2 linked regions of the Arabidopsis thaliana genome follow. The protein of the gene in region 1 interacts with the protein of each later gene in a pairwise test. Each region holds a gene or a part of one and is shown on either strand. Other genes may lie near its edges.

Region 1 (5,015 bases):
TCGGGACGAATGGCGAATTGACACAAATCCACGAATGTAAATAAATAGCAATGTCGCATTATACTTAATTGATCTAAAAAGGAAAAATACTATTATCATAAAGTGAAAGATATAAATACAACTTGGATCTGACCGACACGATGAATTCTCATACACAGTCTCAATCCACCAAACTAAATAGTTATTATCACATTCAATAATAGAAAAAAAATTGATCTCAACACATATCGCGATATCAATTAAGATACGTCTAGCTTTATTTCGGTGTGTGATGGGAAGCTTTCCGAGGAATACAGGCAGATAATGGCATCACCAAAAAATAATGTCTAAATGTAATCTATTAATAAAATCCAAATTTTATATTAGTATTCGAAATTATTTTCTAGATACATTACTATGTCAAAATGTGTTTTAACTATGGATGGATGCTTAATTCGAAGAGTAATGAATTTCCGGGAATTGTGGACCATGTGGTCTATTTTCCAATGTACCATTACTATCTTCAAACACAAGTACTGACAACACAAAGAAAACATAAGAGAAAATATGATTTAGAAAACTATATGAAAGGAATAGGGAAATTTTGAAGATAAAGGCGGAACCAGGCAAATAAACTTTATTTATTTTGGCTGATAAATTTTTAAACATAGATTTGCATTGCAATACAGTTAATTAGTTGTTTAGTTGTGGAAAAGAAGAAAAAGAGTGACTTGTCGCAAACTAATATGGTTATCTAAATACATAAAAGAAGACTTTTGATGTGTGGAGTGGAAGTAGACGTTTCCTCGTTCTTCAACTATCTCCATGGTTCTGCTGACCCACTTCTATTATCTTTTCACATACATTTAACTATACACATATACATAGATTCATTGTAGATTTTAATTTAGTAATAATAATACAATATACTAATAATAAATGTTGACCTACTAAGTTATTCATGTAGGGATCATATAGATGCGTTGCCAAATATTAAACGTGCGGACATCAAATGATAAGACAATACTACCATCTGTAATATATTTTTCTCGTCAACAACCATTAATTAAAATCTTATTTCACCTATAGTATACAAATGGTAAAACGAATGACAATGATAGAAGTGTGATCGTAAAAATATATATATGGTAGCTATACTTATTCTTAGATAGATTGTCTCGTAGATCTACATTTGCGACCACATTGAAATTTTTTAGCTAGGTTGGATATTGGGTGTGAATCGTGCCTAAGATGCAAGTGAGAAATATTGGATATGTAGCAGTAGCATGCCGTGCATATATCATGTATGCTAGAATTGGTGATTGGTCAAAATCCATTGAACTTCGAAACATCACAAGAAAAATATTAATCGTGAGTGTCACTGTTTAGTTGTCCAATGAGATATAAAAGAAAAAAGTACATATTTTTCCCATTTATGAAAAGTCCAATCACATTTTATTTATAAAGGCGACTTATTGGACTTTCTAGTTGACAGATCAATGAAGCAGAGGATATTTAGATGATCATCGCAAGCAGAGAGAAAGACACGTCGAAGAAGACAATGAGAAACTCACACCCATAATTTGCTGCTCATCATTTCTAATTATTAAATAAAAACGGTAATTTAATTTTCTTGATTTGTCACATCTTTATTTCATCATCTTTTGCTTACCTTTTCTTCCTAAGCTCTTGGATATTATTAATGTTTTAGATCGATTTATATTATAATTTGATATTTTCTTGAATTGCAAGTTTTGTTGCTTAATTGTCAGAATAATGGCTGCTTTCTTTCTTGGAGAATCTGAAATGAGAGAACACTCTTCTGATCTTTTTATGATGACTCTGAATCCGTTTCGCGAGCAGACAACGACCACTAATGCTCATGACGATCACTTCTACAACTTGTGCTTTGGTTCCCAACAATATAGACCTCGAGATGAAGTAGGTCATATAGAACAAGGAAATTCTTCCATCTCCACTTTTTCAAACGGAGGAGTCTTCAGGGCTTTGGCTCCGATCTACTTGAAAGCGGCTCAAGAATTACTCAATGAGATTGTCAATGTTGGAAACGGTAGCCACGGCGCAAAACAAGAGCGACCGGTGAGTAAAGAGTCCACGATTTATGGAGTTGAGGACATCAATGGTGGCTATAAGCCTGGCGTAGCTGCTTTGCAAATGAAGAAAGCAAAACTCATCTCCATGGGTGAAATGGTAACTTATTTATACCTACCTATATAATATGTGATACACAAATAATAATAATAAGATCTTTGTATATACAAACCAACCATGGTGATATATATAATGGCAATAAACTTTCTGTTACTTTGAGATCGGGACTCAAGTTCAGTCCATATATTTGGTTATTGCATGTTAAGTATTTGATACTTTATAAAGGTTTCAAAGATTGGTAAATTGATTTGGGAAATGAATTTGGTAAATTATACACAGGTGGAACAGAGATACAAGCAATACCATGACCAAATGCAGACTATAATCTCATCGTTTGAGCAAGCTGCGGGTTTAGGCTCAGCAAACTCATACACACATATGGCGTTACAAACAATATCAAAGCAGTTTCGTGCTGTAAAAGACATGATAAGTTTGCAAATCAAGCAAATAAACAAGCTCTTGGGACAAAAGGAATTTGACGAGCAGCTTAAGAAGTTGGGAAAGATGGCACATCACCATTCAAATGCTTGGAGACCGCAGAGAGGTTTGCCCGAAAAAGCTGTTTCCGTTCTACGCTCTTGGCTCTTTGAGCATTTTCTTCATCCGTAAGTAACGTTTTCTTCTATCTTTAATTCTTGTTACGATTATTGTCGATATATCAGAATGATGGGACCTTGAAGCAAAGGGAACTAACTAAGGATATGGAAGCTAGGATCATTACTTAGTTTTGTATAGACATGCATGCTAATGATTTAGTTGTGTCTTGTTTTGGTTTGTATAGATATCCGAGGGATTTGGATAAGGTAATGCTTGCCAAACAGACTGGCCTTACTAAGAGTCAGGTAATTGATTTCGATTATCAGAAGTTGGACATACTTAAGTTTCTTAATGTTAGATGTCTCATACATAGTACATATACAATTTCATGACATCATCTAACACCGACTATCAAGAATAAATAATCTACAGGTAAAACCGAATATATATATAGATTCAAACAAATTTTATTCCGATCAAAAAAATATTTTTAGAAAGATATCTCTTTATTTCTATTTTTTTTTCTTTTCGAGTCTGAAAACAAAAACGTACCCAAGAATTCTAAGAAAAGCAGGTAAACCAAATATATTTTGGTAAATTTATTTAGATAGATGATGTATATTTATTTTATTATAATTATTTTAATGAAAATAGCGATGATAGCATACGAGAAATATCATATATGTGATCCTTTGTAAAGTAAATCAAATTTATTTTGGTTAAATTAGTAATTATATATATTATGGAATACTTTCTTTTAGCACCCATGATTATATATAATCAAAATAAGTATTGTTAATAGTATCTTGTGTAAAATGGATGTAGGTGTCAAATTGGTTCATTAATGCTCGAGTTCGAATGTGGAAGCCACTGGTGGAGGAACTTTATTCGGAAGAAATGGATATTGAAGAAAGCAGAAAAGGAAGTGACCGGTATAGTACCAAAGGTTCATCTTCAAAGCAACCGTACAATAATACAACTTCAAATGAATCTTCGAACACGATCCTACCCGCCTTTCGTCAAGGATTCACTGAAACTGAAACCCCTAGGCAAAATTCATCCTCAAGTTGCAGCGTAGTCATGAGGTTCACGAAGCAACACATGAATCAAGCGAACTTCATCAATTTCAACGGAGGGTTCGAAAACTATCACACAATGGATGGAAACAGCGTCTCCCTTTCCCTCGGCCTGCCTCATTCTTGTGACCAAACCTTTAATAACATTCATTTTGAGTCAACAAGTCATGGAACTGAGAACTCGGCCATATATTCATCTTCAACTTATCAAATCATGGATTAGAAATAATTAGTGGGGATGATATATTTTCTGCTTGTTGCTTACGTATATTCTGTGTATAGTTTTGGCCCTTGGATGGTTTCGTATGGGTTGATGTGTGTAGATTGATAGAGAGGAGATGATTAAGTAAAGGTTATGATAAAAATGTAGATAACAATACTAAGCTAAAGAAATATATATGGTTTTCGATAGTCAGGTTTTAGTTAGTATTGTTACGTATGAGTGTAAATGAAGATCAGATCAACCGTGAGATCCATATTAGCTAATAGTTGTGACTTTATGAACGTGTATGTGTGTGTGTGTGTGTGTATGTCCCCAAAAACCCTAACTTAATCTCCCACCTCTTCTGTCTTTTTTCTAAAATTTGTTCCACAAAACAATGAATATATATTAGCTATAATTATTATTTTGTTGTTTTACATGATCATCTTAGTGACCTAACCACAAGTTAATTGGCTACCAAGAAGTTATGGATTTATTTATTTGAGTTGATTTTTTGTTTGTCTTCCATATCCAATTTTTTATTTTTTATTTTACAAACTAACAAAATACAGAAATGTTTTAAAAATGATGGTAAAATAAGAATATGATAGAAAAAATGGGAGAGAATATTTTCTGTATCATTAAACACACAAACCGTTGCTACAAATTACATACTGAAAAATATGAATGAAGACATTATACAAACGACCAAACACACCTCTCTATGATACATAAATACCCCAAAACTAAAACAACCTCTAAAATCCTCCTCCTACTCACTCTCCTGTTTGTGTCCCTCACCAAAAGTCCAATACCACATATATAATCAATACTAAGAAAAAAAGCAAAGTGAAGAAAATCAAATATATGAATAAAAATGAGAAAACCCCTTTTACAAAACAAATACTCTTCCTCCTCACTACTACTACAAATTCTTTACCCTTTCATCATCTGACTTGAATGAACTTAACCTGTGAAATTCTTCGATAACTCAAAACCCTCATTGATCCATCTCGTTGGTAAATAGCAATCGATAATTGAATGGTTTG
Region 2 (3,971 bases), on another chromosome or scaffold:
GATATGTTACCTTTTCCTATATATTCTCGTCATTTGTCACCCATCACTGATATAAATAAATAAAAAACAGCCAATTGGATTTTTTGTTTTCTTTGGCACTTATATGCCTAAAAGTAAAAATGTTTTGTTTTCTTCTTGCTTGTCGCACTGTTTGTATGTGTTATGCACTGCATGCATATACATATAAATATTATACAAAACAATACGTCGTGGTCAATTTTTTTTTATTTTTTAAAAAGTTAACTACACATATAAATAAATAAATATAGATGTGTGTGAAATTGAGAAATGCACACGTACACACATATCCAAAGTTAGGTCTGAAAATAGGCGCAGATGCTGTTTTAATGAGTTGTCGGCATCGTAGGTCTAATATAATGGATACACTAAATATAAAACGTTCACTATTAGTCTTAGTCTATAACGTGATGCAGAGTAATTGTTGTCAACATGAACACTTGCTAACTCATGATCACAATGAATGAGTTTCCAATCATTTTTAAATCTCTTTTAAAAAATTTAGACTTGAAGAGTGAGCTGTATATATAGTATGATTGATGACGCAAAAGTAGGTTTATAGTCGTCCACATTCAAAATTTGATTTAAAGTAACACTTGCTTGTCCGTGCAAAGTAAGATTCGTAGAAGAGTACCAATCCGGATAGAAAATTCCTGTACTTGATATCATCAACGATGGCCGTTATGCAAGTACAAGACTGTAGGCTCTCTCTAGACCATTATTACATATAAATATAGTTAGTACAAGAATCATCATCATCAACATCATATATATTTACATTTTTATTCAGTAGAGCGATTAATTATTAAGGAGTAATTAATACTATATAAGAAGATGTTTTTTTCTTAATAATAAAATTATTTGGAATGGGGTGGTGGAAGATTAAGATCAAGCCAGATTTGCTTGAAGACATTGATGATAATAGCGTGATATTCGTCTGAATTGAGACAGAGATAGCAAGCCAAAAGCTCCTCTAGATCCTTTGTCGCTCTTATCTTGTTCTCAGCGATCATCTCCTCCATCGACTCCTTAAAGTCTCTCTTCGGATCCACCGACGCCTTCACCACCGCCCTGCTCCGCCGAGCCGACGACCCGCTTCTTCTTGCGCTGCTGCTCACCGAGATCCGCGGCGACCGCATTCTAAGTCTCACCCCCGCCGGAGAATTCACCGCCGTTTTCCGTGCGGTGGCGGCCGTTTTGGTAATGATGGGCCGGAGTTCGAGTTCCGGCGGCGGCGTAAAGGTTGCGGTTTTGGATAACTTGGAGCTGCAAGGGCTGTGCCAGGAGCCCGTTAATGACTCGTCGGGGAGGAGAACTTGATCCGAGCGAAAGTCCGGTGAGAAAGAACCTGTTTCTGTGGTAGTGCTGTCGCCGGAAGTCGTGGAAGACTTAGAGTCGACGGTGGCTCGGTGACGAAGACGGTTCCCGGAGGACTTCCTGGGAGGATGGGAGGGTGGCGCTTTGGAAGAGTGAGAAGGGCGCCTAGGAGGCCTAGGACTGAGTGGCGTTGTGGACGTAGGAGTAGGGACTGCGTGGTGTTTCTTCTTGGAGGTGGTGCTATTTGGTTGGCTCTGAAGATTCTTCTTCTTGGATTTGGACATGTCTCTAAGTTTGTAAAACCAAGCGTTAGGGATTAACTCCGATAGCTTAAACCGATAGTTATTACCCATTATCTCTCTGACTCTCTCTGTTGATTATTTTGTGTTTGTTGGGGACTTCTTTGGTACATGAACAAAAGTGAGAGTGTGAAGAGTGGAGAATTTATAAAGGAAAGAGAGGTTTATGTGAGGGGGCCCACATACGTGGAAAATATAAAGGTTATTATAAGGTGAGTGAGATGCTCTCTCCATTTTCATTGATTTTGTGTTAGATTATGTTGGCCATTTCATTTTCCCCTAAATTAAATTACATTGACATTTGACACTGACACTTTTATTATATGTTTTAGTAATAGTAATACACAAGTAGTGTTCGTACCAAAGAAATAAATAATAGAGTAATTACTAGTTTGTATATGTACTAATTACTAGTTTAATCGTGGTCATTGTAATCCTTTTAAAATGTGCACCACGATGATATTAAAAAGTTGTATCATCGATAGTGTAAAAAAAGAAAGTGGTCACTCACTTTATTGTGTTACAGTTTCCGTAAGTAGGTGTTTGGGTTTGACAACAAATAAAGAAGAGAGAAACCTGCTTTTTTCAAACATTATCGCACGCTTCGAGATCTGGGATCTCTTGCAAAACAAACCAAAATTTTAAAATGGGCCTATATGTTTTCGGCCCAATAGTTTCACTTAACGATAGCACCTCTTATATTTTCCTCTTCATCAATTTTAAACTCCAACTAAAGAATCTGTCAAATTGAAACCAAAAATAATAATATTACAGAGACACAAATTTGCCAACTTATTCATGGTCATTTTATACACGTTTAAACAAACAAACAAAAAATAACACGTTACATCTCTATGTATTTGTTCTCTGCCATGGTTAACTGATGGTTGTAAAAAGTTACAGAACAGCTTTTCCTTAAACATCAACTACTCTGCTTCGATGAAAAACTCCAACCTCACTCTTTGGTTTGAACATATTTCTTGTCTCTCACTCCGCTTCATAAATTCTCAACACCGTCACTCTTTTCCTCAAATGTGTTTTCTGGTTTTGTAATAGTTCTGTAATAAAATTAACCGTTTAAAAAAGAGGGAAAGGAAGAAGAAGATATTTTATTTAATGCTTCGAAAGATCCAAAACGTAAAAAAACAACAAACAAAAAGGTTTGCTTCTCTAGGAAGAAAGATTGTTGCTATTTGCAATCAGTTCCATTTCCAATCATCATCACTCCTTTAGGAACATGCTTGTGTGTATATCTCTTGTGGATTTGCTCTGTCTTTTGTGTTGAAATTTTGTGCCAATTCTTTTGTCTCTTTATTCACACACATATGATAACTCTAATATGCTTTCAAGATTTTTATTAGTTCCTGTCAAAACACTAGTTATGAGTTATGAGAGATTAGTAAACAACATCATAACACTGTGTAAAGTTCATCCAGTAAAAGGGAAAAAATCTCTCGTTCTTTTCTCGAATTTACATTTACAATTGCAGCTTTTAATACTTTGTAAAAGAATCAATTTCTTTTCAAATCATCAGGAAAGAAAAAAAAAACATTTAAACTTTACACAAGAAGAAGAGGGGAAAACAAAAAAATGAAAAATCATAAAACTGGACTAAAAATCCTACTTGGCGTTGGCACTACAATGCTCTGCGTTTCCGCCGCCGTGTTATGGGTATCTCCGGCGGCCCACCGTCTTAGATATCTCATCAATGACGCCGCTTTCCTCCCTCCCCTGGCCGTTCCAGCTCCTATCATCTCCCATATAACCCTCTCTATCCCTGGAATAGCCGCCATCTCCGCCACTAGCTCCGACCCTCCTTTCCGACACATCGTGACCAGCGTTGCCGCCGCACTCTCCCTTGTGGTATCCGCTCCTTCTCTCATCACCTCCCCCAAAAGTCGAATCAAACTGAAAGCGGCAGAAACCGCCATGAGTCCTCCCCTCCTGACCACCGCCTCCACGACAGCCACCGCTTCCTCCGGTAGCTCCTGGAATGCATCTCCTGCGGCTCCCATTACCCCAGCCTCAACGAACCTCCCCACGTTCTCTCTCTCAGCCACCAGGTTTAGGATCGCCACGAGCGCGTCTCTCTTAGAGCTGGTGGGGCCCTGCTTAGCCAAGTCAACCAATCCGCTTACGACACGTGCTTTTCTCCCGAGTCTTCTTCTGTATGCCGAGACGCCCGCCAAACTGAACAATGTCGCGGCTGCGTTAGCCTTAGCCTCCCACGTGGCACCCGAACGAAGAACCTCGATGACGCCGTTTAAAGCTCCGTCAGTTTCCATGATCCTCGTTTTGTTCTGTTCCAGGATGGATAGGTTTAGGATCGTCGTAACG

What was found.
Region 2: the proteins of BLH5 (region 1) and OFP1 interact in a two-hybrid assay, tested with the Arabidopsis thaliana proteins (one large-scale study listed by BioGRID).

Annotation. Positions count from the first base shown.
Region 1 is NC_003071.7:11,636,278-11,641,292, reverse strand, and holds BLH5 (BEL1-like homeodomain 5), read left to right. Parts: upstream 1-1,755; coding exon 1,756-2,190; intron 2,191-2,376; coding exon 2,377-2,756; intron 2,757-2,932; coding exon 2,933-2,993; intron 2,994-3,513; coding exon 3,514-3,987; 3' UTR 3,988-4,187; downstream 4,188-5,015.
Region 2 is NC_003076.8:322,269-326,239, reverse strand, and holds OFP1 (ovate family protein 1), read right to left. Parts: upstream 1,813-3,971; 5' UTR 1,689-1,812; coding exon 876-1,688; 3' UTR 562-875; downstream 1-561. Other genes in the region: SAUR21 (ARM repeat superfamily protein), read right to left, coding at 3,233-3,971.